2 linked regions of the Drosophila melanogaster genome follow. The protein of the gene in region 2 binds, or shares a complex with, the protein of the main gene of each other region. Each region holds a gene or a part of one and is shown on either strand. Other genes may lie near its edges. The genes, in order: Cfp1 and Wdr82.

Region 1 (17,176 bases), on a different chromosome or scaffold from region 2:
CACAAATTGCACTCAATTCGATTTGATTAATCATCTGCATGCGTAAGTGTGTGTTTTTTTTTGTTTTACAGCTAATTGTTGGAATAAGAACAAAAATAACATTGCAATGCGAAAAGTCCTCTAGAGTATCGCTTGTCCAGTCCAATTGGACTTTTGTATCTCTGGGATGACGTGTATTTTTGACCATCCCAATCAGCTGATTCCAGCATTTCGTTTGGTTTTTGCCATTTTCTAGCCTTTTTCATTTTATTGATAGATGCTTATATGATGTGAAGCTCTTTAATTTATGCGAATGCGTCAGACAATTTGAATTCTTATCAGAATATAAGTACTGAAAGTGCCCACAGTTGTGTTCAATGAAATAGGGGTATGCATTTTTCAATGTTGTAAAATGGCTCATATAATTTAATTCGAAATCAACCTATCATCCATTTAAATCCGTGAATCAATGTGGTTTTTGCCACTTCTGCTATCTTTGCAGTTTGTGCACCTTATGTAAATACGGCTCTATGTAGTGTTAACTTGACTTTGATCTAGTTACTCGTGTTACTGAGTGTAGTCCATTGTTCTGCTATTTGCTAGCTCTAGCTGAAATTAGTCATTTGTTTTAAACGATATCTTAGCTTTGACTTAACACAAGCCAACTAAATTTTGGATTATATTCCATATGATCTGATTTAAGAAATCAAATTTAAAACATTTGTTGCCCTTTTGCAGGCGTTCTCCACAACATCTTCGATGGGCTGATGGACAAGGAGGAGCAGGTGCGGATTGCCATGCAGCAGGCGATCGTGAAGATCTTGGAGACCCATCCGGAACGGGCTGCGGAGATCCTCAGCGAACATCGATCGCAGCAGCCGAAGATGACCGATCAAACAGTGGCCATGTTGTTGGAGTAGGTTTCCCTTTGACATCAGCAATTAAAAGCTGTTCTAATCCCTACCTTTCTATATTTCAGCTGCATTCGTCGCGTGGTGGGAGCGGAAACTCCTCTGCCGCCGGCTGCAAATCAGAAACTTATTGATCTTGCGCTGCAGGAGCTCACCAAGAATCCCGAGCATTTGCCACTCATACAGAATCCCGCCCAGCGCATCCTGGTAGCCATCGGACGGAGCAGCCCAGAGAGTTGTGAGCAGGTAATGGAGGCGCTCCAGGAGAAGGGAACAAGTACAGAAGGTGTGGCTCACTTTATGCTGATGCAGTGCCTCGGTCTGCTGGCCACTGAGAATCCGGCAGGGGTTGTGCCCCACATAAAGGCCATATTGAGCCGTAGTCAGCCGCATCTAGTCGGGATACGCCAGGATCACATCAAGCAGGCACATGCCTATGCCATCGGTAGATTCAGTGAGGCTCTACTGGAGGAGAGCGGCAAAAAGGAGGAGGAGAACTGCTCCACGGAGATCAGTGTGGCCTACGATGTGCTCTTCAATCAATGGCTGCACTCCCGGGAGCCAAAGGTTTGCGTGGAGATACTGCAGGCCCTGTCCAGCATGTATCCACTGCTGCCCAAAGACCGGATTCAGGATCAGGCCGCCCGATTGGTTCCCCAGATCCTGGCGCTCTATCGACGCAGCGTGGACAGGAATGCCGTGACGCAGTTCCTCTGCTCCGTGTTGAAAACGAATCTGGCACTAAATGCCACAGTCTTGGATGGCATAATTGACGTGTTGGTCACCCATTTGTTCGACCTGGTCTGCGTTTATCCGGACTATGAGAAACCGCAGACGGTGAAGGGTCACTACGAGGTGCTGCGTTGCTTCCACCTTCTGGCCGGTCATCAACCCTACTCCACGCGCATTATGGACACCCTGCTGATCCACCTGCGGAACAATAGCGAACGCGAGAGGATGAAGTCCCTGCTGATACTCACGCACCTACTCAACTCCTGTGCAGGGAATATAGAAAACCGGATTCCAGCCACCATTGAGTGCCTAAAGCAACTGATCCTCAGCGAAAGAGGGATCAAAATGAAGCTAACGCTGCTAAAAACCATTGTGGCTCTCGCCCAAAAGTCCCACATCCGGGACAAGGAGTTTGTGTGGTTCGTGGTGCGGCATAGTTGCCGATTCTCAAAGCCAAGTCAGGAGCACGGCAGCCAGGAGGAGCACGCCAATTTGGTGCTGAGCTGTGAGAACACCCTGTACATGCTGGCCTCTACGGTGGGCACCTTGGATGAGCTGCTCAAGAGGGAGCTGCTGAACTACTTGATCCTACTGGACTACACGGATATTTGCGGGAATCTCGCCAAGTGCCTGGCTAGTTTGTTTGCCAAATCTCCGCACATAGAGTACGATATTGCGGGAGACGATGCCGCCACGGAGCAAGCCACACCGGAGAGTATGGGCGCTGCTGGCGAGGATCGCAGTGTGATCAAGCGCGGAAAGGTTATGGTCCCTGGAGCCGAGACGATTTACGCAAGATGTCTGGCACTCCTGGGCAATCAGCAGTGCATTAAACGATGCTCGAATATTCTCAGTTTTCTGCGCTACTACCATCCTCAGGTGAATCCCGCCCTGGAGGAGCTGTGGGAGCGAAAAATTCCCGATCTTCTGCTGCAAATCAACAGGGAGAGTGCCTATCGCCAGCTACTCCACGATTTTGTGCTTGAAACGAATGAATTTCTGGGCGGATTGGATGAGAACTTTGCCCAGCGGCTGGCCAGTAAGCTGGCGGACCAGATGTACTTGTATCCCATGCAACTGCCCCACTCCGAGTGGCATTTGCCTGACCTTAGCGCCGAGCGAGGCATGCTCCTGCAGGCGGTGGCCCTCACCCTGCTTCAGGTGACCGATGTGGCCTGCATCCACACCAAGATCGATCTCATTGTGACGACTGCCAGGCAGGAAAGATTGGACAAGCACGTTAAGCATGCGGACTACGAAAAGCGCATTGAACCCTGTGCCAGAGCCTTGGGCTACATTTCCCGCCAACACTTGGGGCATCTGATCAAAAAGCTAACCGAACTGGCCCAAGTCGGTGGGCGAAAGCACTCCACCGGTTTCTTTAGCAATCTGCACTTTATCAAGGATACGCACAAGGAGCTAGAGAACTACAAGAGCAACCTGCTCGTGGTCAAGGCTTTTGGTCGCATCATGGACGAAGCCGATCCGTTGCAATCCATTCAACACCTGGACGAAGATGACACATTGCTGGGCTTCCTCATCCAACAGCTGGCCGTGCACAAGGACCAAACAATTATGTCGGCGATCCTGCAGACGCTGCTCAGCATCTGCAACCAGTTGATAGCCACCAAGGAGCAGCTGCCGGCTCCTCTGCGTCATCGCAAGCAGATCATGGAGACGGTCTTCAACATCCCCATCGAGGCGCCGTTCCACGACCTTCCCCTTCTGCCCACCATTCTCAAACTGGGCACGGACTTCATACGCATAGGTAAGGAATTTCTATTAACTAAATGTAAATCTTATCCTAATCCTTTCACTATTTGTAGGTGGACCCGATACCGAGGAGTGTGTGGACGGCGGGGTGATCTTCGAGATCGCGTGCCGCAACTTCTTCGGCTGTGCCCAGCAGCTCAAGATGAAGTTCGACTCTCAGGAGGAGGATGAGCGCAACAGCTTCCTGGCCAAGCACCTCAACGAATCGCTGCCGCAGTTGAATGCGCTTGTGAGGGCCATCGTTGAACTGGACGCCTCGCCGGCCACACTGGATCTGATTATTGGCATTCTAGAGGGCTGGACAAGGGATCGCAACTCTGAGGTGCGAATCTGTGCCAGCCATGTGTTTAACAACACCCTCGATGTCTACATCAAGTCCATGAAAATTGGCTGCGAGGCCCCGTCGAAGTTCAATCAGACTGGTCAAATGCTGGGCAAGATTGTGCCCAGGTGCATCGATTCGAATGGCACGGTGCGGCAGGTGTCCGTGGAGATCCTGCAGAAGACGCTGGAGATCGCGTGTATCTACGAAACCCTGACGATAGCCAGCATCGACAGCACTGCCGACTGGCTGAAGGAGATCGAGACCATCAAGGAGCACATAATCACCGACGAGCCCAAGCAAATCTACAATCTGGCCGGCGACATTGCCAAGATTATTGCACTGCGTATCTCCAGCTTTCAGTACCTGCAGTTCTGGTAAGGATTAGTACGGTCTACATTAAATCGGTTAGATTAGTACGGTTTAAATTTCTTTACAGCAAAACTCTACTTCATTCGCTGCGTGATCCTGAGCAGAGTTCCACCATTGGCGCCAGTGTTGTGCTCAAGTTCTTTATCCAGCAGAAAGGCTCTGAGCTGTTCCACGCCATTCCCGACCTGGTTCGCGACAGTTTGCTGGCCTTGCGCGTGTGCGAGGTGCCCAGGGCGAAGTCCGGAGTGCTAAAAGCTTTGGTGGCCCTCACCAAGCACCATCCCAAGTTGGTGTGTGCCGAAATGCTGTCGCAGCCGCTGCCGTACGACCCCAATCTGGTGGAGTACTGGCACCTGGTGTGCAACGACCCGGAGTTGACGGGCCTCACGCTGGACAACTTTCTGCAGCTGCTAAGTGGTGCCTCCCTCCAGGAAGGCGGTCAGGATGCATCTCTTTCCGAACGTCAGAAATTAGCCAGCGGCCAGCCGTTTGCCATTTTCTGCGCTCTGCATGAGATGCTGCCGTGCAAGGATATCAAGGGGGTGAGTGCTTGAAAGGGTTCCGTTGAATTTTCACACTTAAACTAATGGCTTTGTCTTTTTAGCAACTGGAAACAAGGTTTGCGGACATGTTCTGCATGCTGCTCACTTCGCTAAGCAGCTACACCAACTTAGCTGCACCGAATCCTATAAACAATGCCTCTCTAAGTCCCAACCAGACGCAATCGGGCAAAACCAAATTCGGTTTCGTGCCCAACAAGGAGCTGATCAAGCTCAATCCCTGCCAAATAGCACTGGAAACTTTCCAGGTAGGTTCCAACACCATTAAATACTCTATAATTCTCTATAATAGCCTATTGCCTTAATTTTTAGGCCTTCCTGACCAATCTAGAAATGGAGCAGATTGCCAGCGTGCTGACTGTGAATACGCAACTGGCGAGCAGCGCGGACTGGCACAACTACATCGAATTGCTGACACCGATGGCCATCGGTCTAGGTCAACAGCTGCAGCTGGGAAGTCCGCAGATGAGGCAACTGGTCAACTCGCTGAGCAAATATGTGGCTTCACCATACGATGGTCAAAGAGTGGCCGCCGTGGGTATTTTCTCACGATTGGTGCCACTGAAACCCACCGGTGAGCTAGCTGCGTCCATACTGCTCCACCTCGGAGCCGCACTATCCGATCCCAATGCGGTAGTGCGAGGTCTCAGCATCCAGGGCATGGGTTACGTGGGCCAGTTGGGAGAAAAGGAGGCGAAGCGCTACTCGGAAACTGCCATCGGTGCTCTGTTGAAGGGAGTCGACGATCCGGTGGGCGATTGCCTAATCAACATTCCGCTGGAGAGCATGCGCGGCCTGTCTGGAATACTGCGAGCATTGCCCAGCGAGCGGGTAGAGCCCTTCCACGTCTCCCTCGCCATCCGGATTCGACCGTTTCTCGGCAACTATGCACTAGAGATGCGAGAGGCGGCTATCCAACTGTTTGGCGATATATGCGAGGGCAAGCACGATGACGGCAGCAGTTCACCCACATCCTCGATGGAGGCACTGAGAGAGCAGCTCATCGCCAATCTCTTCCCGCTGCTACTGCATCTCAGCGAGAGCGAAGTGGCTATTGCCTCGGCCTGTCGTGGAACACTTCAGCGGGTTTGTCGTCTCCTGACAGCTCCAAGGGTCGTGGAGATGGCGGAGCAGCAGTTGGGCGAGGAACGAGGTCACCAGCTCAACTACAGCAGCTTTGTGCTGGAATTTGTCAAGACAATTGTGAGTTTATAATGTTCCAAACGGGACATAACAATATTTCTAACATTCATTTATTCTTTCAGGCACTGGAGCTGACGGATCACATCCAGGACTTCATCGATTCGTGCCTGCCGCAGTTGCGTAGTCAGTGGCCCGAGGTGCGAGGTAGTGCAGCCATTGTAATTGGTAAGTGTTCCGGTGGTCCACAAGAATCCTTGAAATAATTTCAATCGTTCTCCTTGCCTAGGCATTCTGCACAACTTCCTCAGCGAGAGAAACGTCCAAACGGAGACTGTGGCCAGCAAGATTGCCGTGCTGCTCAAGGACGAACAGGCGCTGGTGCGGATGAGGGCAGCCACTGCTCTGGGTTACTTCTTTGGGGACATCTAGAGCATCCAAGGGACCAACTCGATTAATTAGATGTGCAGTTATGTTGTGTGTGTTTGTAAATTATGACTTAGTATTGCTCCAAGTGTGATCCCTTTGCCTCAGCAATCGTTCCCTTATTATGTTTGATATTTAACTCTTTGTTTTGTTATGTAATCGAAAGTCACGTTATATACTATCTGTATACACATAGCATTATTTATATATTTATATTTCCATGTTAATGCGGAGCGTTTTGCAGCTTTAAGACAGTTGGAAGTTATAGGAACTCGTATTCGACCGAAGACTTTGTTACGGACAATAATTACTTCATATTATACTGAGTCTATTCAAAATTACCTTGGCTTTTTGAGGTTCATAAAAATTAAAGAAAAAAATAACTACTATGATTCCACAGCAAAAATACGTTGTCAAAAATTGATTGTATTCCATTAAGGAAGTGGTATTTTATTAAAAATATTAATAAATCCTTATAAGCGTAATCAGATATTTTATTTGATTCTTTATATAAATTGCAAAACAATTGCTGGACCAATTTTAAGCAAAAATAATAAATTAGGAATTGTTCTCGAATTGATTCAATTACCTTAAAGGTGTAAAACGCTTTGTCCATTTCAATCAAATCTGTAAAAAAGAGATAAATGTGGGGGTGTGGCAATGGTACTGTTTGCTTGTAAAAGTCAATTACCTGCCACATTACAGATATACTTTCAAGTGCCACAGACTCACACCTTTGAATTTATCTCAATCCCCTACCATTGTTGGATTCCAAATTAAGGTTAACCTGTTTAACTGTGTATTAACGCTTACAAAAACCAAATCAAAAAATGTATTACTATGAAAATCACTAAGCTTTAAGATCAGTCGAAGGCGTAGTACTGGATGCGGCCCGACGACCAGGCGATCGTCAGCACGGAGCGATCGTTATCCTCGTAGAGTGGCTGGAAGCAGATGAAGCTCGGGTGCTCCGCCGCCGTCTCGCCGCTCAGATAGTAAGCCGCCGAAATCTGCAGATCGAACTTCTGTATGAAGGTGCGGAAGACGGCGATGCAGTTGGTCGCCTTGAATGTGACTACCAGATAATTGCCATGCGGATCCCAAGCAAGCTGCTGGGCGGGACCACCGACAAGCGTGCGATTCGCATCAATGCTACAAGCATTTAGATCTGCAATGGGCAGGATTTCCTTCTCATCCGCCGAAGCTGCAAGGAGATACAAAAACGGAATATGTTAAATATCAACTAGTACATTGGTACCGGTTTTTGTTTTTGTAGTCAGCATTATACAGGCGGTCTGTAAGCTGCAACAGCCGCCAACCTGTTACTGACTGCTTTGATCTGGGGCAGCCCCAAATCGCACCCTTGTATCTGACCACCGTTTCAGTTCAGACACTGGGAGCAGACTGCCCTGAATACGTACTCAAAGCTTTCGTACTTACAGGATAGCAGACTCTGTTGCACGAACTGCAGGCGGTAGAGAATCGGTTCGGCACTGCTGACGAAGAGCAGGAAGCGACCGCAGGGCGACCAACAGGCTGTTTGGACATAGCCTCCGGGACCGCACACCCATCGCTCGGTGGTCCATTGCTGGTGGCAGTTCCACACGCGGAACACCCGATCCACGGTGGCTGCGAACAGCCAGTCATTATCCGGCGACCACTTCAGCAGCGAGCCCGGCGGACCCAAACGCTTGAGTGGCTGCATCATTCCGGTGTCCGGCTGCCAGATAATAATGGAACGATCTCCTATTGAGGCGGTGGCCAACTGGGTGCCATCCTTGTTCCACTGCATCGAGGTTATTGGCAGATTGTTTGGGCTAAAAGGGAAAATAAGTTATGTATTTACCAACTAACGATAAATTTTCTATACTGACTATTTAAAAATCTCGCTGGGTGCATTTGTGCGTCCCAAATGCAAAGTGCTGTCCACTTCCCAGAAACACAGACCCTGCCGACAACCTATCACGATCTCGGAAGCGCAGAGTGGACGCCACGCCATGCAGGTGATCTGCGTTTGGGATGGACTCTTTAAAACAGTGGCAGTGGTCGCACTGGAACTCTTTGTGTAGATGCGCACCACATCGTCTACACCGGCTACGGCTAAGCAAAAGAAGTGCTGATTCCAGGCAAGATAGCGCACATCGCTGTTGAGCCAATCCCTGAATGAATGGGACAGTAAGGTTTAGGTATTATTGGTCAGTTGGCTGCGCCCCACCCACCTGGTCTCCACGAACTGAGCAATACGCTCTGCACTAAGCTGCTGGGTGTGCGGGAGGATCCTCAGGCCGGTGGCCAGGCCCAGAAATTGTGCGATTAAATCACCCGCCTGGGCAATAAGCGGCGCCTGCTCCCTGGTCTCTGGGCTGCGTGCCTCCTCCAGCGTCTTCCAGAATCCGCCATTAAAGAAGCTGCGAGCTATGCGCTTTAGGACACCCTCATTCACAGATACGAAGCTCTGTCCGCCGTAGTACCGCTGACCAGCCGGATTGGCCAGAAGTTCGCTGTTCAGGTTTATCTGCGGATAGCGTTCCAGCTCTGGGATGTGATTGTGCCGCAGCGCCAGATCCGGCAGCGTGGAGAACGGCGGACACTGTTTTAGGTTGCTCAGGGCCGCCATAATTGCAGACTATTCACATTCAATTCAGTTCAGTTGAGAAAAAATGGTAACGAAATACAAAGAAAAAACCGCGCGGTTATTAGAGGTGAGAAAAAGCCGACAATGTCAGTGGTAATTCGATGCTTAATTTTTCTATCGATGTTTAATTTTACGAAACTTCGAAAATACTGGGCCGCGGCAAAATCTTAAAGATTATCGAAAAATAAAAATTAGGTATATATAAAGTAACAATCTTTTGTAGGTTTTATATTCACGTTGTTTCTCTTTCAAGAACTCTATTTAATCTCATAGATCTCGAACACACTATCGTTTGTTATTAAGACTATGGAATTAGTTCTCTCGATATAAGTGTTACGAAGCATTTTATATTTATACACAGCTTACAATAAATACCTAAAATTGTTTTTATTGTATAGTCATACATCAATTAAAATCTACAACGTAGTTTTATGCTAAATATTATATATTTTATTAGGCCAGAACCTATCGATTGTCTGCAATACATTATTAGTAGGCTATCGATATCCTTTCATTCACCATCTCCATCGCAAAAAAAAATTCCATGAAACTTAATTGACGGATTTGGATTTGGACTGGATTTGTTGTCGGAAAGATTGCTGCGAGATGACGGACAAGCGCAAATATAAGAAGACCGTAAGTTTCACCCGCTGCACGGCAATCATATTTTTAACTACAAAGGAGGTTTCCAAACAGAAAGAGGAAATCAGGCGGGAGATCGCACGGGAATTTGATTTGCCTGAGCGCAAGTCCAAGATAGCCACCATTCTAAAGCAGGAAGACCAAGCGTACTGCATATGCCGCTCCTCCGACTGCTCCAGGTTCATGATGTGAGTTGAATGGCCTTAAAGGGCTAGATCCCGGCTAACTACTTGTACCCTTCGCTTTCCAGAGGCTGCGATGGTTGCGAGGAGTGGTACCACGGCGACTGTATAGGGATCACCGAGAAGGAGGCTAAACACATCAAACAGTACTACTGCCGGCGCTGCAAAAAGGAGAATCCCGAACTACAAACCATATTCCGCCTGGTGGCCACCGAACGGGCAGCCGCATCGAACGCCGCCTCTACAAGTCTCAATGCCCCGGGCGTAGGTCCATCGGGAGCTGCGCCTGCTGCTGCACCGGTGGCGTCCGCAACAACCAGCCAGCAAGCGCCGCCACCGACCACTGCGGCAGCGAAGCGCAAAAACAGCAGCGCCCGAGAACCAAAGATGGGCAAACGTTGTGGTACCTGTGAGGGATGCCGGCGTCCCAATTGCAACCAGTGCGACGCGTGCCGCGTTCGCGTGGGCCACAAGCCGCGCTGCATATTCCGCACCTGCGTTGTCCAGGCGGCGACGGTCTTAAAGGAGTCGCAGGCAACTCAAGCCGGCCCAAGTAGGAAGCGGGAAAAGGCGGCACCCAAGAGTCGCAATGTCCAAGTGGGCCCGCGGGCGGCCAGTCCGGAGATATTCCTCAATCCGGAGCTACAAGGCATCCGGCAGTGCTACGGACCCAATTGCTGCTCCCATGCGAGACCGCAGAGCAAGTACTGCAGCGATAAGTGTGGCTTCAATCTGGCCACAAAACGCATCTTCCAGGTTAGTTTCATTTTTTGGCCAGACTATGACAATTAAACACCAAAGTCCTTTACACTCTCAGGTTCTGCCGCAACGACTGCAAGAGTGGAATCTAACGCCCAGCCGCGCCGCCGAGGAAACACGCAAGCATCTTGATAACATTCGTCATAAGCAGTCCCTGGTGCGTTTCGCACTTGCCGAGCTAGAGAAGCGCTCCGAAGAGCTCAACATGGTGGTGGAGCGAGCCAAACGAAGCTCCATTGATACATTGGGGTCACAAGACACCGCCGACATGGAGGACGAACAGAGCATGTACTGCATCACCTGTGGCCACGAGATTCACTCGCGCACTGCCATCAAGCATATGGAGAAGTGCTTCAACAAATACGAATCGCAGGCCAGCTTCGGGAGCATATTCAAAACGCGAATGGAGGGAAACAATATGTTTTGTGATTTCTACAATCCGGCAAGTAAGACTTACTGTAAGCGATTGAGAGTATTGTGTCCGGAGCACAGCAAGGATCCGAAGGTGAACGATACGGATGTGTGTGGTTCGCCCTTAGTGAACAACGTCTTCAATCCCACGGGCGAGTTTTGTCGTGCGCCAAAGAAGAATTGCTTCAAGCACTACGCCTGGGAGAAGATCCGGCGTGCTGAGATAGATCTGGAGCGTGTGCGTCAATGGCTCAAGATGGACGACCTGATGGAGCAGGAGCGCGTGATGCGGCAGCAGCTCACCTCGCGAGCGAACCTGCTCGGCCTGATGCTGCACTCCACCTACAACCACGAGGTGATGGACGAGCTGGTGCGCAAACAGCAGGAGCATCTGGTAGAGTTCGAGAAGCAGAGGCGACGCCTGGCTCACCAGCAACAAATACAAACACAGCAGAAACAGTACCAGGAAAAGCAGAAGCTAATGTTGCAGCAACAACAGCAACAGCAACAACAGCAGCAGCAACAACAACAGCAGCAACAACAGCAGCAGCTGCAACAACCACAGCAGCAGCAACAACAGCAGCAGCAACAACAGCAGGAGCAACAGCAACTGCAATTGAAGCCACATCATCTGCAGCAACTTCAACTTCAACTGTTGCAGCAGCAGCAAAAGAAGGCCCAAATACCACAGAAAACTCAAATTATATACCTGCAGAAAAAAACATAGATTTGTAGTCCCCTAATCATAGCAAGAACTAACAATAAACTGACGTCCAAGAAATATTTTTCTACGACAGTAATCTTTGGACTTACCCGACGCAAAGTTTCTAGTGTCGCCTTTCTCCTGGCAACCGCATAACACGCTCGCCAGCTGTTGGGTCCGCTTCCCGGCCAGTAGTAGGTTGCTACGCGCCGGGATCGGCGGTACGCCCATGTTTGTTATTGAAAACTAAGCATCAAATATGCATTTATTGATAGCAACATGCTATTAATACATTAGGCCAGCTCAACCGTGGATATCATTCACATGGATTACATTAGCACACACCTTAATATTAGTTTATTAGCTGGATTCAAGTTATTTATAATTTCTATATACGATTTGTTTTCTGTTCATTGTTAGTTTGTATTTAGAAATAATCTAGAAAATAAGTTAGCATATTAAATACATTTTCTTAAGCTGTAGGCTTTTTTTAATAATGCAGGTTAATATTACTGCATTAAACAAAGTCATGAAAAAAAGAATACTCTACGCTCAACATATTTTGAAGATCATATAGACATAGGCCACCGAGTCCGGGTTTTGATATCCGAAACAATGGTTCCGGGTAAATGAAGAGCGGGGGGCAACCATTGGAAACGGCAGGACCTTGAAAACGATGGAGGCTATGGATTAGAGTGGGCATGCTGTAGTTGGGAGCCAAAAGGAATGTCAGGACGCACAAGTGCAGTGGAAATTTCAAGCGAGTCTGAACGAATCCGGCTACCCGGGCAATCAAGTAGTCGTGGCGATTTGTGACTGTTCCCCCAGACGAACTGTCAAAAATGCCAGTCGTTGTCCGGAACTTTTCTACATCACACACGACCTGCTGATTCAAAGCCAGGAATACAGTTCATTTACAATCTCCATCGCAAAAAGAAAAATTCCCTGAAACTTAATTGACGGATTTGGAATTGGACTTTAGTTGTCAGAAAGATTGGTGCGAGATGACGGACAATGATAAGAAGACCGTGAGTTTCACACGCTGCACAGCAATCATATTTTTAGCTACAAAGGAGATTTCCAAACAGGAAGAAGAAATCAGGCGGGAGATCGCACGGGAATTTGATTTGCCTGAGCGCAAGTCCAAGATAGCCACCATTCTTAAGCAGAAAGACCGTGAGTACTGCATATGCCGCTCCTCCGACTGCTCCAGGTTCATGATGTGAGTTGAATGGCCTTAAAGGGCTAGATCCCGCCTAACCACTTGTCAACTACGCTTTCCAGAGGCTGCGATGGTTGCGAGGAGTGGTACCACGGCGACTGTATAGAGATCACCGAGAAGGACGCTGAGCACATCAAAAATTACTACTGCCGGCGCTGCAAAAAAGAGAATCCCGAACTGCAGACTATATTCCGCCTGGTGGCCACCGAACGTGCAGCCGCATCGAACGCCGCCTCTACAAGTCTCAATGCCCCGGGCGTAGGTCCATCGGGAGCTGCGCCTGCTGCTGCACCGGTGGCGCCCGCAACAACCAGCCAGCAAGCGCCGCCACCGACCACTGCGGCAGCGAAGCGCAAAAACAGCAGCGCCCAAGAACCAAAGGAGTCGCAGCCGACTCAAGCAGGTACGAAGCGGGATAAGGCGGCACCCAAGACTTCCAATGTCCAGGTGAGCCCGCGGGCGGTCAGTCCGGAGATATTCCTCAATCCGGAGCTACAGGGCATCCAGCAGTGCCACGGACCCAATTGCTGCTCCCATGCGAGGCCGCAGAGCAAGTACTGCAGCGATGAGTGTGGCTCTAATCTAGCCATCGAACGCCTATTTCAGGTTAGTTTCATTTTTTGGCCAGACTATAAGACTCCAATTAAACACCAAAGTCCTTTACACTCTCAGATTCTGCCGCAACAAATGCAAGAGTGGAATATTACGCCTAGCCGCGCCGCCGAGGAAACACGCAAGCATCTAGAGCTCAACATGGACGAGCTGGTGCTCAAACAGCAGGAGCAACTGGAGGAGTTCGAGAAGCAGAGGCAACAGATACAGACTCAGCAGAAACAGTACCAAGAGAAGCAAAAGCTAATGTTGCAGCAACAACCGCAGCAGCAGCAACAACAGCAGGAGTTACAACAACAGCAGGAGTTGCAACAACAGCAGGAGCAGGAGCAACAACAGTTGCTGCAGCAACTGCACTTGAAGCCACATCATGTTCAGCAACTGCAACTGCAAATGCAGCTGTTGCAGCAGCAGCGACAGCTGTTGCAGCAACAACAGCATAAACCGGAAAATCCATAGATTTGTAATCCCCTAATCATAGCAAGAAATAACAATAAACTGATGTCCAAGAAATATTTTTCTACGACAATCCAGTAATCTTTGGACTTACCCGACGCAAAGTTTCTAGTGGCGCCTTTCTCCTGGCAACCGCATAACACGCTCGCCAGCTGTTGTGTCCGCTTCCCGGCCAGAAGTAGGTTGCTACGCGCCGGGATCGGCGGTACGCCCATGTTTGTTATTGAAAACTAAGCATCAAATATGCATTTATTGATAGCAACCTGCACGTAAAGGGGTTGGATACATTGGGTTAGCTCTACCGTGGATATCATTCACATGGATTACATCAGCACACACCTTAGTTTTATTAGGTTATTAGCTTGATTCAAGTTATTTATAATTTCTATATACGATTTGTTTTCTGTTCATTGTTAGGTTTCATTGTTGGCTTTTTTTTTAACTAAAGGTAAAGATAAAGTAATACATTCAGATAGGTTAATATTAATGCATTAAACAAAGTCATGAAAAAAGGAATACTCTACGCTCAACATATTTTGAAGATCATATAGGAATAGGCCACCGAGTCCGGGTGTAAATATCCAAAACAATGGTTCCGGGTAAATGAAGAGCGGGGGGCAACCATTGGAAACGGCAGGACTTTGAAAACGATGGAAAACTATGGAGTAGAGTGGGCATGCTGTAGTTGGGTGCAAGACACCAAAAGGGATGTCAGGACACACAGGTCACACAAGTGAAGTCGAAATTTCAAGCGAGTCTGAACGAATCCGGCTACCCGGGCAATCAAGTAGTCGAGGCGATTTGTGACTGTTGCCCCAGACGAACTGTCGACAATGCCAGTTGTTGTCCGGAACTTTTCTACATCACACACGACCTTCTGATTCCAAGCCAGGAACGTACACTCGTTTTTTCTATTCGATTCCGAATCTTTTATTTTGTAAAATCGTAACGGAAGCGTGAACGCCGGAGTGCCGGGAGATACCAGGCCAACATCCGCCGCCATATGGACTCGTCCTCCTCCGATACGCATCTACATTCGTTGATCTAATATATGCTTGTAATTCCATTTCCAAAACTGTGCAAATTGAAACGCGCGTGGTCTGCGAGTGAAACATACAAATTGTCAAGTCGAGGCCGCTGATCCTAAGCTAAATCGGCTAGATTTAATCCACAAGGGCCGAAAAAATTCAAGAAGTACTTCATGAGTTGGCAGTGGGAAGCCCTCAACGGACGAAGTAATATAGATATTGTGTTCGGTGGAGCACAACACCGGAACGGTATCAAGTAAAGATTTTTTTTCTTGTTCAAGGTCCTGGACTGTACCTACAGGTTGGTGTATCCAAACGATATATATACATATATATATATCTATATAATTAATATGAAACATCCTACAGTTCCGGTTGCATCTTTTGATTCGCGTTGCGTTCGTTACTATATCGTTCTTTTTTTTCTATTTTTATTGTGCAAATTGCCAGTTTACTTTCAAGGCACACATACTCACATAACCATCCGTCAAGTTGCCGGGCCTCTTCGTCTCCTAGTTAGCCACCATTCTACATATCCTGCGAATCCTGCCTCCTTTTACTGGTAAGTGACGTGCTCCACTTGAAAACTTTTGTGCCAAATTCAATCGCTCCGATTTGGCTGTTGCTTTTGATGCTACACTGCTACACTGGCAGACATAAAGTAGATTTTAACCTTACACCTTTCACTGTCTATTTGATTTATTAATATATTATAAATTTACTAGATCAAATTATGTGCGCTTGCGCCCACTTATGCGCCAGGGTTGCATTTCAAACGGAGTCCATTCCCTACTTTCCAGCACAAAACTGGAATTCCTTGGAATAACGGCTTAATTCGAGATCAGATTCTTGCGAATTTCAATTTCGAACTCGATTTTTGTTGAACTGTGCTGGCCTTTGCCATATGAGTGTACTTGTGCCTATTTATTTGTTAAACAAATTCATTTGCCATGCTTTGTTGCTGATTTTCGTTCAGCGAGATTGCATGCCACGTATTTCCATTTGATTGTTTTGCGGCGTTTCTTGCAGCAACAATAGCTGAAGTAGGCGCAATAAAAGTATTACAGTAGGCATCCCAAAGAGTAGATGTTCGGGAAGATTTAGTGTTAAGGTTTTTAATAATAGTAATAACTACTTTATAGTTAATAATCTGTACCTATTGAAGAATATTACGTATATACATACATACATATTTAGTACCCCATCTTAAAGAACACTTATAAATCGCGTTATAAATGAGAGTTGAAGCATCCAAGAGCTTTACGCATTGTTCTCTGCAGCGAGTGCTCACTGTGCAGCCGAGCATTGTTACATGACGTTGCCGTGGGCACTTGAGGGTCCACTGTAGGCATTGCCAGGCCATCCAATTGGGGGTCTCGTTTTCGCTTTCGCCTTCTGCCCGCGATCGATCTAACAATAATTCGGTTTCAATCAGGTCCGCCTCGCGATTTATTTATTCGCTTGCTATTTTTTCCCGCTTTTTATTTGTGCTCCCGTTATGGCCGTTGTTCCGTTTCCGGTGCACTTGCATGCAGAGAGAGAAAAAGCCATTATCCCTTTTATTCCAATCCAATGATCGAAATATCTTTGTTAGTATAGGAGTATATACAGACATACATATGTATATACTTTGGCTAATGATGAGCTTTAATCAAAAAGTAATACAGAAATGTTTCAAATATTTTGAATATCTTAAAGACTGGATCTCTTGAATAATTAAAATGTACTATGCTGTGTGAATTTAATTCATTAACTTTATCTCATACATTTCGATTTTATTCTTTCACTGTGCACTTTTGCACTGCTTTTTGTTGGCGTTTCATTTTATTTGACATACTTGATGCCGTTTGCATATGGGAGCAAGCACGCGAGGACGAGGGCCCCTGATGCTCCAGTTGGAGCCGCAAAACCACTCGGGCGCCACTGCCACTGCCACATCCACGCGCAACAGCAACAGCGCCACAGTGAATGCCAGCTAACTGATAAATTTCGCACTCCACTCTGATCGTCCATAGCGAAGCTGCCACGTGGGGCTGGAGTTCTCGGGGCTCTGCCAGAGTCGCAACCGGGCCAACTAGAAACCAACTGCCGGATAAGTCCCAGCATCCCAATAAGCAAAAGAGGTCACAAGGTTAAGGGGCACGGATAGGGATAGGAATAGGGATAGGGATAAGGATAAGCAAAGGGCACAGGTGAAAAGGAGCAAGCTACGATGGCCAACTATCAAACTGCCCACGCTCAAGAGCGACGCATTCAAGAGCTGGACCAAACTGTGGAAAGCATTTTCGATGTGCGAAAGGTAAGTCAAAAA
Region 2 (15,756 bases):
ATCCGCATGAGAACCGTTGCAGGATTCGACGAGCACATTCGGCGGTGCAGACGACAGTTTGGCCACAGAAACGCGTCGCGCTGTGAAATTCCTTTGGTTCGCATGTACTCGGTTCCTACGTTTGTGAGGCATTTTAAGCAGACTCGCAAGAATTATGGTAGTACACTTCAATTCGCCTCTGATATAAAACAGCACGCAACACTGATTTGACCATTTAACAGCACTGATATGTCATCATCTGTAAATTTCGCGTTACTTTCCGAGACCTTTTTCCGATACCCACTGTATTCAACATTCTCACACCGGTTCGGGACTTATACAACACTGACCCATAAGCAGCTGTTTTCTGAGAACCAAATATTTTGATAAATTAATGAAAAATGGCATTATCACGCGCCAAGCCCGACGAACTGCCCAGGGACGCGGTGGTCATAACAGAGGATCAGGCCCTCAAATACCAATGGAAGATTATAACTTCCTGGGACAAAATAGGCGAAGTGTGAGTGCATGAAGCCTTCTAAAGTTGCCGCTTACCTAACAAGCGATCAAAATATTGCCTTGTAGATGGTCGTTGCGCTACACGCCCGGAATTCTGAGTGCTTTGGCTGCGGGAACGGGCGCCTACATAAATAATCATTATCGCACCAAGCTGCGACTTGGAGGACATGGTCGATTGTCCACTTACCTCCCGATTGTCGCCGTTCCCGCCATATTTACCATGCTGGCGCACAAGTTCTTTATTCAGCGGCCCATCCTACTAAATCCGCTGGGCGAGTGCCCGGTGTGCATCCAGATGCGCAGTGCTGCCTTTCAGACAAGTCTGGGCATCGTATATCCCACAATTCTGGCCCCATTCGCCGCATTTCTGTTCGCAACCCGCTGCTACACGTACCGTATTCCCTCGATTACGGAAAATCCCAGAGAAGTGTTTCTGTTGTGGCGGAAATTTACACGCCCCATTGTCCCAGCCTTAGGAACCTTAATCGGCCTGCAGGCCCTGCTAACCATGTTCCTTACTGGCCAGGAGGACAAGCAGAACTTTAAACTTATGTTACGCATGAGGGAGATCGAGCACCAGGTGGAGGAGGAACACTTGCCACAGCGAATGGACTTTTAATTGTTACACATTGTTAACTAGCTCAAATAGAGGCGCATTTAAGAGCTTATTCTAAATGCATTTTTTAAAATTTGTGATTTTTTACATATATCTGGAGGGTTCTAGAGTGCAATTAATGTAAATTAAGCAAGTGGACTTAATTTTAAATATAAAAAAATTATTTTCTTCATTATGCCATCTCTAAATCTATCGATATCTCATCCAGTTTGCCGCATTGTCTATCGAGCCAATCTCACACGTTGCTGCAGTCGGCTGACGAAATTGTTTGCATTTGCATTTACTGTTTGAAACGTGAGTAATACATAACTTGTTTTGGTTAGGTACCAGTGTGGTCTATTTACATATACGAAAAATAAACAAGTAAACGTTTTTTGATTCAATTCGCTTCCAAATTGTATAACTTTGTCACGTACTGTGCAAAGTGCACTTTCACTGCTCCGATTTGTGGCCGTTTTAAGGGGTTAGGGAGCCCCAATTGTCGCGTGGCAACGTTTACACTCACGATTTGTCCTTTGCAGAACCAGCAATATGAAGTTACTCACAGCAAAGGAGGTGCGCAACGCCTATCTGGACTTCTTCAAGGAGCAGAAGCACATCTATGTTCACTCGTCCAGCACGATTCCATTGGACGATCCCACGCTGTTGTTCGCCAACGCCGGCATGAATCAGTTCAAGCCCATTTTTCTGGGCACCGCTGATCCCAACAGCGAAATGTCCAAGTGGGTGCGCGTGGCCAACACGCAGAAGTGCATTCGCGCCGGTGGCAAGCACAACGATCTGGACGACGTGGGCAAGGATGTCTATCATCACACCTTCTTTGAAATGCTGGGAAACTGGTCCTTCGGTGACTACTTTAAGAAGGAGATCTGCTCCTGGGCCTGGGAGTTTCTCACGCAGCGACTCGCCCTACCCAAGGATCGTCTGTATGTGACTTACTTTGGTGGTGACGCGGCCAGCGGTCTGGAGCCCGATCTGGAGTGCAAGCAAATGTGGCTGGACTTGGGCCTGAAACCGGAACACATCCTGCCGGGCAGCATGAAGGACAACTTCTGGGAGATGGGCGAGACTGGGCCCTGCGGACCATGCTCTGAGCTGCACTTCGACCGGATCGGCGGGCGCAGCGTTCCGGAGCTGGTCAACATGGACGATCCCGATGTCCTGGAGATCTGGAATCTCGTGTTCATCCAGTACAACCGTGAATCTGATGGCAGCTTGAAGCAACTTCCCAAGAAGCACATTGATTGCGGCATGGGTTTCGAGCGGCTGGTGTCCGTCATCCAGAATAAGCGATCTAACTACGATACCGATCTGTTTGTGCCACTTTTCGATGCCATCCAGGCGGGCACTGGTGCCCCACCTTACCAGGGTCGTGTGGGTGCCGACGATGTGGACGGCATTGACATGGCCTACCGCGTGCTTGCCGATCACGCCCGCACCATCACCATTGCTTTGGCTGATGGCGGCACTCCGGACAACACTGGCCGAGGCTATGTGCTGCGACGCATCCTTCGTCGCGCTGTGCGGTAAGATAACTTAATACTACGTCTTATATACATTATATTACATTAGTCATTAGTCATTATTCTTGATCAATTAAAAAATTACACTCTCTAAGCAATAATAATCTTGACATTATCTTCCCACAGTTATGCCACTGAGAAGTTGAATGCCAAGCCCGGTTTCTTCGCCACCCTGGTGAACACAGTGGTTGATCTGCTTGGTGATGCCTTCCCGGAGGTGAAAAAAGATCCCCAACACATCATTGATATTATCAACGAGGAAGAGTTGCAGTTCCTTAAGACGTTAACGCGCGGGCGCAACTTGCTGAACCGCACAATCGAAAAGTTGGGTAACCAGACTACCATTCCCGGAGATGTTGCTTGGCGGCTGTACGACACCTACGGCTTCCCAGTCGATCTAACCCAGCTTATGGCAGAGGAGAAATCCTTGAAAATCGATATGGATGGCTATGAGGCAGCCAAGCATAATTCATATGTGCTTTCGCAGGGCAAAGGTGCTAGCAAAATCGAGGAGATCAATCTGGATGTGCACGCCATTTCGCAGCTGCAGGAGCAAGGTGTGCCACCAACCAACGACACCTTCAAGTACAAGTACGAGGCTGTGTCTGACGAACGTGACTCCGCCTACAACTACGGTGTGTGCAATAGTAAAATTGTTGCCCTGCGCTTCGAAAACCAGTTTGTGAACGAGATCACCAGCGGACAGAAGGCGGGCATCGTTCTGGACAAAACAAATTTCTATGCAGAGAGCGGTGGTCAAATCTACGACCAAGGTGCACTGGTTAAAGTCAATGACGAGGCGAACGAGTTCCTTGTGGACCGTGTCTACAACCGCGGAGGCTACATTCTTCACATTGGCGTTGTAGAGGGCACCCTTAAGGTGGGTGATGAGTTGGAACTGCACATCGACGTGGAGCGTCGCTGGTTGACCATGAAAAACCACTCGGCCACCCATGCCCTCAACCATTGCTTGCTGCAAGTATTGGGTAAGGACACCGAACAGAAAGGCTCTCTGGTAGTGCCAGAGAAGCTACGCTTTGACTTCAACAGCAAGGCGGCAATGACCATCGAGCAGGTGTCCAAGACGGAGCAGCTGACTAAGGAGATGGTGTACAAGAATGTGCCGATCTACGCAAAGGAGTCGAAATTGGCCCTGGCCAAGAAGATCCGAGGCCTGCGATCGGTCTTCGACGAAGTGTACCCGGATCCCGTTAGGGTAATCTCCTTCGGAGTGCCCGTAGATGAACTGGAGCAGAATCCCGATTCTGAAGCCGGCGAACAAACCTCCGTCGAGTTTTGCGGCGGCACCCATTTGAGGCGCTCGGGTCACATAATGGACTTTGTTATCAGCAGCGAAGAGGCCATTGCCAAGGGTATCCGAAGAATTGTGGCTCTTACAGGACCCGAAGCTCTGAAGGCACTGAAGAAATCTGAAGCATTTGAACAAGAAATCGTCCGGCTTAAGGCCACCATTGATAACGATAAGTCCGGTAAGGACTCCAAGTCGCATGTGAAGGAGATTGTTGAGCTGACTGAACAGATCTCGCATGCTACGATTCCCTACGTGAAAAAGGACGAGATGCGCAATCTGCTGAAGGGCTTGAAGAAAACATTGGACGATAAGGAACGTGCCCTGCGTGCCGCTGTCTCGGTCACTGTTGTGGAGCGCGCCAAGACTCTGTGCGAAGCCAATCCCAATGCCACCGTGCTGGTCGAGCAGTTGGAAGCCTTTAACAACACCAAGGCGCTGGATGCCGCACTGAAGCAAGTGCGCAGCCAGCTGCCCGACGCTGCCGCCATGTTTCTGTCAGTGGATGCGGACTCCAAGAAGATCTTCTGTCTCAGCTCGGTGCCGAAAAGTGCCGTGGAAAAGGGTCTGAAGGCCAACGAGTGGGTGCAGCATGTTTCCGCCACGCTGGGAGGCAAGGGAGGTGGCAAACCGGAATCCGCCCAGGCATCGGGCACAAATTACGAAAAGGTGGACGAAATTGTCCAATTGGCCAGCAAATTCGCTCAGTCGAAACTGTCTTAAGAGCATAAAGGATTCGAAAGCGGCAAGACCTTCAATTACTCACAATTTTGATACACAACTATGCTTAATCTTAATCCGTTGATCTGTTTTAAACAGCATTTCAGATGAATTTTTACGGCTATTTATAAAATAAAAGCATTTATACACTAAATTAATTACATAATTGTGTTTGGCTGTATTCGTACATCGTTGAAAAATGATTCGGGCTAGTTCACACTTTAAAAACGGGTCCTTTATTATGTTCCACATGAAAAGTTTATAATCAGAACTGAACTTATTTTGAGCATTTAATTATATCTAAGCCTTACCTATATCAGTAAAGTCTTTTTAAGTAACTATTTTAAATAAAAAATTCGTCAGTATCTATGTTTTAAACACGATAAACATTTGCAGAAGCCCAATAAAGCCTAAGATTGGTTTTTCTGTATAATCCAATCGACAGCCTCTGCAAAGTTTTCCAACAACGCTGTTGGAGGTGGGGATGGTTTGACATCCGGCAGATATTTGCCGGTCTTGACCAGAATTCCCTGCATGCCCATGCTCATGGCGCCCACTATGTCATCATTGGCATCCTGCGAATCAAGAATTCGTTAAGTTTTCAAAATGTATTCCTTACTTTACATACATCTCCAATCATAACGCATGAGGCTGGATCCCGACCAGCCAGAGCTCCTTCGAAGAAATAAGGATTGGGCTTGCCAATCACTTTGGCAGTTCGTCCTGTAGCGAACTCCAAACCCTTGACAAAGCACCCTGGGCCCAAGGCTAGGCCTTCTGCTCGTTTGTAGTACTTACCCTGATGCACGGCGATCAGTTTGTGATTCTTGTTTTCCAATAGAACGCTATTGCAGAGATAATCGTTAATTGAGATAAGAATATCCTTGCTCGGATGCTCACTTAAAAGCCTCATTCAGCTGTTCATAGTTAAAGGCCTTGGGTGCCAGACCGATTACAACTGAATCCTTATAGCGCCTAGTGTCCTCCGGCGGAAAGTCCTGTCGTGCATCCTCAGACAGAATATAGTACGGATTTAGTCTCTCATTTTCCACATACGAGACTGCGGCACTCAAGGAGCTGTAGATCTCAGAGGCGTCAAGTTGGAAGCCAATCCTGCATAGCCGTTCGTGAAGAGTGGCCTTTGAATCCTTCGTGGTGTTTGTAACGAATTTCACCAGTACGCCAGAGTCACGCAATCTACACGGCAACTTTGAAAATAATTACGAATACCTTGGTTTAAACTAAGCACCTTTTTAACGCCTCGACAGCATTCGGAGTAGGTTCATCCTCCACATGCAAGGTGCCACTGAGATCAATGAGTGCTCCTTTAATAGACATCTTTCTCAACTGTTGAAAGCTTCTCGTTCCTCTGGATAACAAAAACATAATTTCCAGCTGGTTCGATAGCTTTCGATAGTCGTCGCGATATGTTTATGTATCAGCAGGTGATTTTCCACAGGTGTAGACGGGGATTCGAATACTTTTTTAAAAGTAAAAAATTCTAGCCGCCCTAAAAATACATCTTAATATATTTATATAATACATTTCTCGAACCTTTAGATCATTTAATTTAATTTCACTTGATTAAGATATATCAATCCCTATTACATATTTTTCTGACTATGCCCATGGTCACAAGACTTCAGCAATGTTATTCTCTACCGGCAAATCGTTTCTTGCGCGATTTTCATTGAATATATCCAGAAATGCAAAACCAATTGGTCTCATAGCCAACTACTGTCAGGTGGCATCAGCGCTGCGTCCGAAGAAGGCGAAGTCCACCCGGAAAGAGGTAGAATCATAAGATTGCAATGGAATTTACATAACTAATGCCACACTTTTGTGTCCACATTTCCAGGCGCAGTACTTCTCCGATGCCAAGAGGATACGTGCCATCGGCGGAAAGGGTGGCGACGGTTGCGTGTCCTTCCTGCAGCTATGGTGCAATGAAAGGGCCGGTCCAGATGGCGGAGACGGTGGCCACGGCGGGCATGTGGTGTTCCAGGCCTCTAACGATGTGCGCAACTTTAACCACGTGGGGAGTGTTCTGAAAGCTGAAGAAGGAGAGCCGGGCAGCTCCAAGGATTGTCATGGCAAGAACGCCAAGCATTCTGTGATCAAGGTTCCAATCGGGACGGTGATCAGGAATGCGCAAGGTCAAATTGTCGGGGATCTGGGACAAGCGGATCTTATGTTTGTGGCCGCTCGAGGAGGAGCCGGTGGCAAGGGCAACCGTTTCTTTACCACGGACAAGGAAACAAGTCCCAAGGTCAGCGAATACGGTCCTAGGGGTGAAGATCTATCATACACTCTGGAACTGCGCAGCATGGCGGATGTGGGTTTGATTGGTTACCCCAATGCTGGCAAAAGCACCCTACTGAATGCACTGACACGGGCCAAGCCAAAGGTTGCTCCCTACGCCTTCACCACGCTGCGTCCGCACTTGGGAACCGTCCAGTACGATGATCATGTCCAGCTCACCATTGCCGATCTTCCCGGACTCGTGCCCGATGCTCATCGCAATAAGGGCTTGGGCATACAGTTCCTAAAGCACGCCGAGCGTTGCACCTTGTTGCTGTTCGTGTTAGATGCCAGTGCACCGGAGCCATGGACGCACTATGAGCAGCTAATGCACGAACTCCGCCAGTTTGGCGGACGTCTGGCGAGTCGCCCGCAATTGGTGGTGGCCAATAAGCTGGACGTGGAAGAGGGCCAAAACAACTTTGAGGAACTGCAACGTCGCCTGCAAAATCCCGTGCTCGGCATTAGTGCCAAAATGGGTCATAATCTTGGACAACTCCTGAACAGCATACGTAGAGGATACGACCGCCACAAGGACCAGCCCCAGGAATCCAGTTAGAGGCCTCTGTTTATGTTATGTTGATTTATTATTTATAAATTAAATTGTAATCTTATAAGCTAAGCAAGCGGGAATCATTGCCTACAAGCCCTCCTCGGATGTGGGCAGCCAAAAAGCCATGTTGGTGCACGCGGACGCCAGCATCATGTATTTTGGATTGAACTGAACGCATTGCACCGGTCCCGGATGGTCACCATTCAGTACGGACACCTTATTGCCAGTGTCGGCATTCCAGATGTGCACTCGTCCATCGGTGCTGCCTGAAAAGATGAACTGCGAGTCTGGGCTGAAGCTTGCCTCGATGGGAATGCCCTTGTTGTTTGGATAGCCCGTGAACGTTTGTAGCGGAGTGCCGTGGAAGGCATCTACGAGCCGGATGACCGATCCATTCGTGCTGATCAGAATTGTTTTGCCGTCACGGGAGAACTTAAGGCCAGTCCAGTCGCATTCCTTCTCCTGATTAAGTTTAAATGTGACGAAGGGGCCTTTGTCGAAAGAGCGAAGGTCGTACAATTTAATGCTTTCCGAGTTAACGCCAGCGGCGAAGATCAAGCCCTCGGGATCGTAGGCAGCAATGGGTCGTCCAGAGAGATGCATCAGTCCCTGGCAGTTGGGCGAGCGCAAGTCCCACAGGCGCAGCGTCTTGTCCAGCGAGCCGGAGAGAAAGGTGTCCTCCACCGGCGAAATGCACAGCGAGATAACCTTCTTGGTGTGGCCGGGGAAGTAGCGCAGATATTTGTTGTCGTGCAGGCTGAGATAGCGTATGGTGTCGTCCACCTTGGTGGAGCTATGGATGGCCGTGTTGTTGGCGTGCGTAAAGTGGATTAAATCCACTCCATACTTCTTCGAGTTCACCGTGCGCGACTGCGTCCCCTTTTCGCAGTCGTAGATCACGATCTGGTCATCCTCGCTGCAGGATATTAGATGTTCGCCGTTGGGCGCAAAATCGATGGCGTTGATCTTGTCCGTGTTCTCTCGGAAGATCTTGGCCACCTTAAAACTGCGCACCACCGAATCTATTAGTTTTATCTTCATTTTAGCCTGTCGAATTTCGTTTTGTTGTCAATATGCTCAATTGTTGCAAACAATGTTATCGGTGGCAGAGGTTGACGGGTCGATAGCTGTGTTATCGATATCGCAACTTTCGAACTGGTTCCGGAATGAATTGCAAGAGCGGAACCAGCAACCAGATTTAAATTATTTGAAAGTTCAAAAAATCCATTCAAAAAAAGTAATTAATAAAACTCATTTAAAACCCCAAATAGTGCAATAATAATGTATAAATACCCCAAAGTAATGCAAAGTTTTTTTCAACAACAAAATTTAAGTATATTTTTCTCGTAAATCAAAATGTGGTGTAAGGCGTCATAGAAACAACAATATTAATATAGCTACATTTCATAATGTACACAGTGCAATTGTAGATGGTCTTATTAATTCGTTTTCTCCGACGGGCAGTCACAGGTGATGCTGTGGGTATTTCCCAGCAGATCCTTGGGGTCAACGTAGACAGTGCCCTCCTTGCCTCGAGCAAAAGGTGTATGTCCGTTGGTTTGTAAGTAAAAGTCGCCATGAATTCTGAAAATCACAATTTCAAATGATGAAACTAAATTCTGCGCTATGCATATAAGGCAAGTAGAAACTTACGTCGTGGGACAATGATGACCCATCACCACGGGCGGGCAATTCTCTACTATTTTGTTCTGCTTGAAGTCCGACCATTTCTTGGCGGGCACAGCATCGAATCCAATGGGATATCGATCCGAAACGCTCTCGGCCCAGAACCACCAGCTCCTCCGATGACTGGACAGATCGTTGTCGCTGAGCATCTTGTAGTTTCGCTTGGGACAGCCAGGCTGCAGGCTGTATCCACCATTTGGCCAGAAATCCGCCGTGCCCGTGCTCGTCGGAGCTCCGTACAGCCAGGCGTCCGTGTGTATCACGTCGACGAACTCCGCATCATTGGCAGACAGGTGCGTGCCCGGATAGAAGAGCGGAAATGCGGGATCCAAAGCGGAAATTCTATAAAAGAAGATTGGAGATAAGTGAGACAAGAAAAGGATTCAATATAAACTTTATAAACTTTGCCGAACAACGATTCTAAAAAAAAACTTTTTGTATTACCATATGGTAATACAAAAGTGTTAAGCTTTGGACATTAAAATTATTAACTAAATATCGTATATTAAACATCGTATATCATGACGTCGGCATAGACTAAAATCGAACCGAGCATGAATAAATAATTTGAAATCAAACCTCTTTCATTTTACCTTTTTATCTTTCTGACACCCTTGGTGCGTTTAGTAATCTCTCGGCCGAGGAGTCCGGCCAGCTGGCCGCCCATCGAGTGTCCGACAATGTGGAACTTCTCAATGTCCAGGCCATGGTCGAACATTTTGAGCAGGACCTTGGCCAACTCTGGGCCCAGCTGTTTGAGGTTCGGGAAGGCATCGAACATGTAATTGCCATCGGCCAGTTCACCCCAGTCTAGGACGATAAGATTGGTATCCTTTCGCTCCAGATAGGCCTCGGCTATGACGTGAATGCTCTCCACATCCGGATCTTCCAAGTAGCCGTGCAAATAGAGCACGGTGTTCTTGCCCAAATCCAAGTGCTCGTCCTCCAGAAGACTCTGGAAATCGGTTAGGTCATAGATATCGCTATCTGCCACCGTGGGTCTGTGAATAAAAGATAATGCTATAGGTGAATACTTGAATATATTTAAGAAATTTGGATATTAGTGCAATAACATGGCTTTATGTATAATTTTTCTTCATATTTACTAATAATAATATTAGTTCTTACCCATAATATAGTATAAACTTGGCTGTCGTTAGATCCGCCTTGGAGTTCTTGAGTCCGCAGAGGAGCCCTGGTTTAATAATTATCCAAATTGTATTAGCGGAATTTTCCATTTTCGCACACTTACTTACTGGATTTGTTTTTAATGGCCTTGTGCATGTTTCTGTGGGCTGTCGGCTATTAGTCCATAAAGTGATTGATTACGTGGCCAGTGGATTGTCCGGATATCCTCTGGTCCCATGCGGTGATTGGCAAAGACTGGGCCGGGCACTCGGTTGGCCGGATTAATGTGGCGTGGCCTAAACCCCCATTGAAATTGATAACTCTAATTAAATTTCAATCTTTTTCGGATAAGATAGTAATGGTGAGTTCGGCCAAAAAAAGCCTTGCGACATCGTAAGCATCGTGATTCACACGAGTGTGCCGCCCCAACGGCGGCAAAGTCCGTGTGGGAGTCCAAGCCTTTGCCTGTCCATGCATCATTCATGTGCTCCTACGGTGGAACATCCGATTTCGGAACATTCCAAATCTCCGCATTATTATTCATCCACTTCTATCGGCTGAACAAGTTTAATCGAACGCTAATCCCATTATGCACTTGAGGACTAATTCAATGGTGATTGAATGAATGCCATAAAAATAAAAGCTTTGTCGCCAGCCAGTCTACTTATTTCCAAATCACCACGATCAATTAAAATTGCAACATAATGAGTTTCCTCAACAGGAGTGAGCTGAATAATTACAAAGTTTTCCCGTTGAAAGTTACAAACTTAAAGATCGCCGTAACTATTATTGATCCATTAATATGATGGGTTTAATTATATATAGACTAATACAGCATGTTTATTTAAGTACAGTTTTACTAGCTATTTAAGTGCATTTTATTATCACTAAAATTAACTTTTAAAAAGTAATAGTCTTTTTATGGGCGGACCCTGTAACTTTGACCTTAGTAATATGGCTATCATAAAAAAAGTGAAATGTTTGACAGTTCAACCAGCTACAGGGCCCACTGTCTATTGCCAGAGATTACCTTAACCCGAGGTCTAAGTGAACAAACTACAGTGCTTAAATATGCAGACTTGAAATTACAGCAATGCCATTCAAACACACTTGTAAGCTACAGTCCAACGTCCCTAAGTGGGAACAAAAGTTAAAGTTTAGCTTGGAATATATTTGTTTTCGGACTGAATTAAATTAGAAAGTGGTGTTTCAGTTTAAGCATACATTGTTAAAGTACAAAGTACAATGCAGAACACAAGCAAATACAAATACTTTTTAAAATAAAATATATAAATACTTCAATGAGATTATGAAATCTCAAAACTTTCTTGTATAAACTAATAAATTAATATTGCAACTATTATTCTTGTCAACCTCCTAATCATAACATATCTAACTGAGGGAAGTTGGACTGTAGAAATGCTTATAAATGTGTACATAGATATATGTCGAAATGGAAGACCCCTGACCCTCGTTGCCTGCCCAACGCAATGGTAATTTAAGTACCGGCCTTCTTTTTTTGCCTCGATTTCGCCGTTGTATCGCGGACATAAATAAAGAGCACTTCAATTTATATTCCGGCTTATCGGGGGAAAATTAGCCGTCAGATAATGCTCAGTCGCACGATGGAGTATCACTGGTTTCGAGGGTAAGGAGGGAATCGAATCGGCGCCAAGTGTTTAGCGGAAGGTAAAAATAATAACGCTTAGCGAAACGCGCCACTTGGGGAAATCGGGCTAAATAATGAAGCACTAATTGTAATAACAGCTCAGCGTTTTTGACATATGCGAGTAATTAATGCATAGAGCCCATAGACTATAAATATTCGGACACTTGTTGCGTCCACGGGGGCAGGTGGATCGTAGGTCAGTGGACGGTAAACGGACGCGGAGATTGCGACAGCCGTGGGTAAACTGATAATGTTCCGCATTTGGCTGTGTTTGGTTGGGCACACACAAACACCTCGTTTTATTGTATACACACAATTGATTGGTTCCACCCATTTGCCCAATCAAATTTGCATCTGATCCCCCCATTGACTCCACCACATTCCACGCCGCATCCGATTCGATGGCGCTCGAGCGTCAGACGGAATAATTCAATGGCACTTACGCGTCCACACTCGGTTTCGGAATTCGATTCGAGAGTTAGGCAAACATTGGCCAACGCGCAGCGGAACGGCAAAACAAACAAGCGTATCGCTTCGTCGCAAAAGTCCAACTGATCTCTCGCTAGAAACTGCTCGCCACCACCACCACCACCACCACCATCATCCAATTAAAAAACCAAAAAGAAGCCCCAACTATCGCCAGGTGTCTGTTTGGCGCCTATCGATATCAGTCTAGCTTGCTATCAAAATCGTTTACTGCTGGAATGATTTTAGGATTTCAAAATAAATTAACAGTATTTTTAAAATGTAAAAATACAAGTATTTTGTTTGTATAATCTATGCTTTTCATAGCCATACCTCTCACAAATTATAAATAATCAATGCACCTGCCAAATAATCAGAATGTATATAAAGCTTAATTTGAACGAAACTATAAAAAGGAAAATATTACATTTCCAAACTTTGAACTGACAACTGAAACCTAGAAATTGGTATACAATTTTGGGAGTTAAATATTCAATTTTGCTCCACATTAAACTTTTCAATAGATCGTGTGATATTGTTTCACTACAATTTTATTTTTGCATTCAGATGCGATCAAATGTTCCAAACTCTACAAATGTTTTTAATAATGATCGTTATGCCTATGGTAATTTATATATAATATAAGTATGTAAGTAGTAATGTTTAGTTGTGTGTCGCGTTTAGTGGGTCTCCTCCCATGCTGATTCTCCGATTCTCTCCTTCCTCTGACTCCTGGCTCCATTCATCCCTCATCCAGCATCGGCTGCAGCGTTTAACACCTTCCGGGATCCACTACAATTTTCCGTTCTTAAGTGTTGTTGCTACATAATATGTTTTGTTGCCGGCGTTAAATACATACAGTTTTAAAAATAGAATAAAAAAAGATGCAAGAAGGTTGATTACGCTATAAACAAATATACAAAACACATTATTGCAGACGAACACAGAGTGGGGAATGGTGAGATAACCACGTGGTGATGGCGATGATACCGGGAAAGAGACAAAAAAATATGGCACAACATTAGTATCGGTTAAATATTTGATCCACTGCACTCGCACTTTAATCAGATCGGACATCTAGCCTGGTTATCTTGAACAAACAAACAATCAAATGTGAATACGATTATGACGGGGAGGATTAAACACATTGGCTTGTGGAACTGGCTGGAGACAGCGGGAGGCACATCACACGTCATGTGGTTGGCTACTCATCCTCTAACATTCCGAGTCAAGCGTGGGCGGCTCCGCTGCCTTGCCATTCATCTCCTGCAAAATGTCATTGTCAGCTGCCTCCGGCTGTCGGGGCGGTTCCACTATCAGCTTTGAGTCCATTGCCGCCTCAATTTTGGCGCCCATGCACGGCGGTATTGCCGTTCTAAACACATTCAGTTCCATTTCTATGGCAGGATTTTAATTAAAATTAAAGTCTTACTACTAACTGACAATTTATGAATTTGTGTAACTCTCAGATTCCCTGCATGCCTTAAAACTTGTGATAATGAATAATGTTATATATTGTTCTATAAGTTAGACCCTTTCTATCCCTGTCAAACGCTAACCTTGTTTATATTAGACTGTTTATTGCTTACCTGCAGCTATGCCGGCAATGGCCTGTGCAGCAAAATGCTTGACATCCACATCTGTGTCTGTGTTCAGTTTGTCGAGTGTGGGCTTTACTTGGGCATCAATGACGCTGGCCTCCAGGAAGGGCGAGATCTTCTGCAGGGTCTTTGCCACGTTGAAACGAACATTGGCAACGGGATCAGCGGCAAGCAGGAGAACTGTGGGCAGCAGCAACTTGGTGGTGATATCTGTGCCGCAGACCTCTGCCAAAACATTCAGGCAGAACAAGCAAGTCATTCCTAAAAATCATAAGAACCATAAGCATATATTGATCATTACAATTTCAATTCGATAACTTACTGTGCAAATAGTTCTTGTTGCGCGACATAACCAGAATCATTGGAATTATGGCCTGTTCGGCCCAGGGAGCTCCGAACTGCTCGACGAGCTTCTTCATGTTGAGGGTGGCTGCCTCACGAATGGCGTACACGTGATCGTTGAGCCATCCCATGCAGAGACCGCGCAGTTTTTGGTCAAAGAATTCCTGACCCAACTGACCGGCCAGAGCAGGCATGTACTCGATGATGGCTAGACGCACACGCCACTTGGAGTCCTCGGCCAGCTCGACGATGGCGGGCAGAAGCGACTGTGACAGTTGCTGGATACCGATGACGTCGTTAACGCAATCCAGGTTTGAGATGATGTTTAGGCGCACTTCTGGGCACTCATCCTTGAGTTGAATAAGGAACAGGGGGAGCAATTGCTCCACAGTCTGATAGGCGCCCAGCATGGGACTCAAGCCCATGATCACTGAGGCCAGAGCTGACTTCACATGAGGATTGGGGTCCGAGACAAGATCGCGGACATAGGGCAAAATGGAACTAAGGATGATTTGCACCTGGTTGACCTTGTCCAGATTGGCGCAGAAGTCCTTCACCTTGGTGGCCACTGCAGCGCGAACCTCGGCCTCGGCATCCTTGAGCAAGTACTGGAAGGCAGGCACCAAGTCCACCCTAGTAATCTCTGGGCCCACAGCCTTTTGCAGATCAACAAACTTCTCGGCCACCATGTAACGCACCCTCCAGGAAGAGTCGCTGGCGCACTGGCGCAGCGTGGGCAGAACCAGCTATGGAATATTTTTTGTAAGCCAACAGGTATTAACAATTTCAGCGCTGATCAACTTACGTGCTCTACATCATCCTGAGGCAGCAGCTGGGCAATGCTTACGCATGCCTCTACAGCCAGCAGACGGACAGAGTCCTGGAAATTAAGGATAAGGATTGATATTTTGGAGTGTTGTTAAATTGGTCTTAATCAGGTGCTTACCTGATCATCCTGTGCCAGCTGGACAAAGTTGGGAATCAAATCGGACTTCAGATACTCCGTCTCAACGACCTTGGCAAACTCGCCCAGCTTGTTGGCCGCTGCACGGCGCACCATGGGTGTCTCATCCTGGCAGAGCTTTCGGAAGTTGGCGCGCAGCTCGGCCTTCACTGGCTGTGTGACGCGTGGATAGCAGACCGAGAAGAGGCCGCAGGCAGAGGTGCGTGAGGTGAACCAGTCACCGGAAACCAATCGCTGCAGTGTCGGCACCACATGGATCTCCAAATCCTGGGCGCTGTGCTCAGCGGCCACGGTGCGTAGAGATTCCACAGCCTTGTCTCGCACCACGGTTTCCTCTACGGTGGCCAAACTCTCGAGGGGCGGAATCAAGTACATGGCAAA

The links.
Region 1: Wdr82 (region 2) and Cfp1 share a complex: the UniProt entries of both Drosophila melanogaster proteins name them as parts of the SET1 complex.

What each region holds. Positions count from the first base shown.
Region 1 is NC_004354.4:9,265,170-9,282,345, reverse strand, and holds Cfp1 (CXXC finger protein 1), read left to right. Parts: upstream 1-9,385; 5' UTR 9,386-9,456; coding exon 9,457-9,680; intron 9,681-9,742; coding exon 9,743-10,430; intron 10,431-10,491; coding exon 10,492-11,571; 3' UTR 11,572-11,912; downstream 11,913-17,176. Other genes in the region: c11.1, read left to right, coding at 718-895, 959-3,390, 3,449-4,094, 4,157-4,631, 4,694-4,897, 4,962-5,852, 5,915-6,017, 6,079-6,221; aladin, read right to left, coding at 7,079-7,419, 7,656-8,032, 8,090-8,374, 8,435-8,832; CG17440 (uncharacterized protein), read left to right, coding at 12,552-12,575, 12,636-12,769, 12,832-13,375, 13,442-13,840; Erk7 (extracellularly regulated kinase 7), read left to right, coding at 17,078-17,164. UniProt on the Drosophila melanogaster protein: Component of the SET1 complex that specifically di- and trimethylates 'Lys-4' of histone H3. Essential for Set1 association with chromatin and trimethylation of histone H3 at 'Lys-4' at transcription puffs.
Region 2 is NT_033779.5:8,367,332-8,383,087, reverse strand, and holds Wdr82 (WD repeat domain 82), read right to left. Parts: upstream 8,628-15,756; 5' UTR 8,562-8,627; coding exon 7,608-8,561; 3' UTR 7,539-7,607; downstream 1-7,538. Other genes in the region: Rcd4 (reduction in Cnn dots 4), read right to left, coding at 1-132; CG13392 (uncharacterized protein), read left to right, coding at 381-499, 565-1,117; AlaRS (Alanyl-tRNA synthetase), read left to right, coding at 1,646-2,640, 2,764-4,669; CG17294 (uncharacterized protein), read right to left, coding at 5,077-5,241, 5,295-5,511, 5,567-5,863, 5,916-6,004; CG13390 (uncharacterized protein), read left to right, coding at 6,315-6,458, 6,525-7,526; CG17292 (uncharacterized protein), read right to left, coding at 8,960-9,104, 9,174-9,548, 9,800-10,207, 10,335-10,401, 10,463-10,490; Pp2A-29B (protein phosphatase 2A at 29B), read right to left, coding at 13,368-13,372, 13,689-13,865, 14,058-14,330, 14,392-15,157, 15,217-15,291, 15,358-15,756. UniProt on the Drosophila melanogaster protein: Component of the SET1 complex that specifically di- and trimethylates 'Lys-4' of histone H3.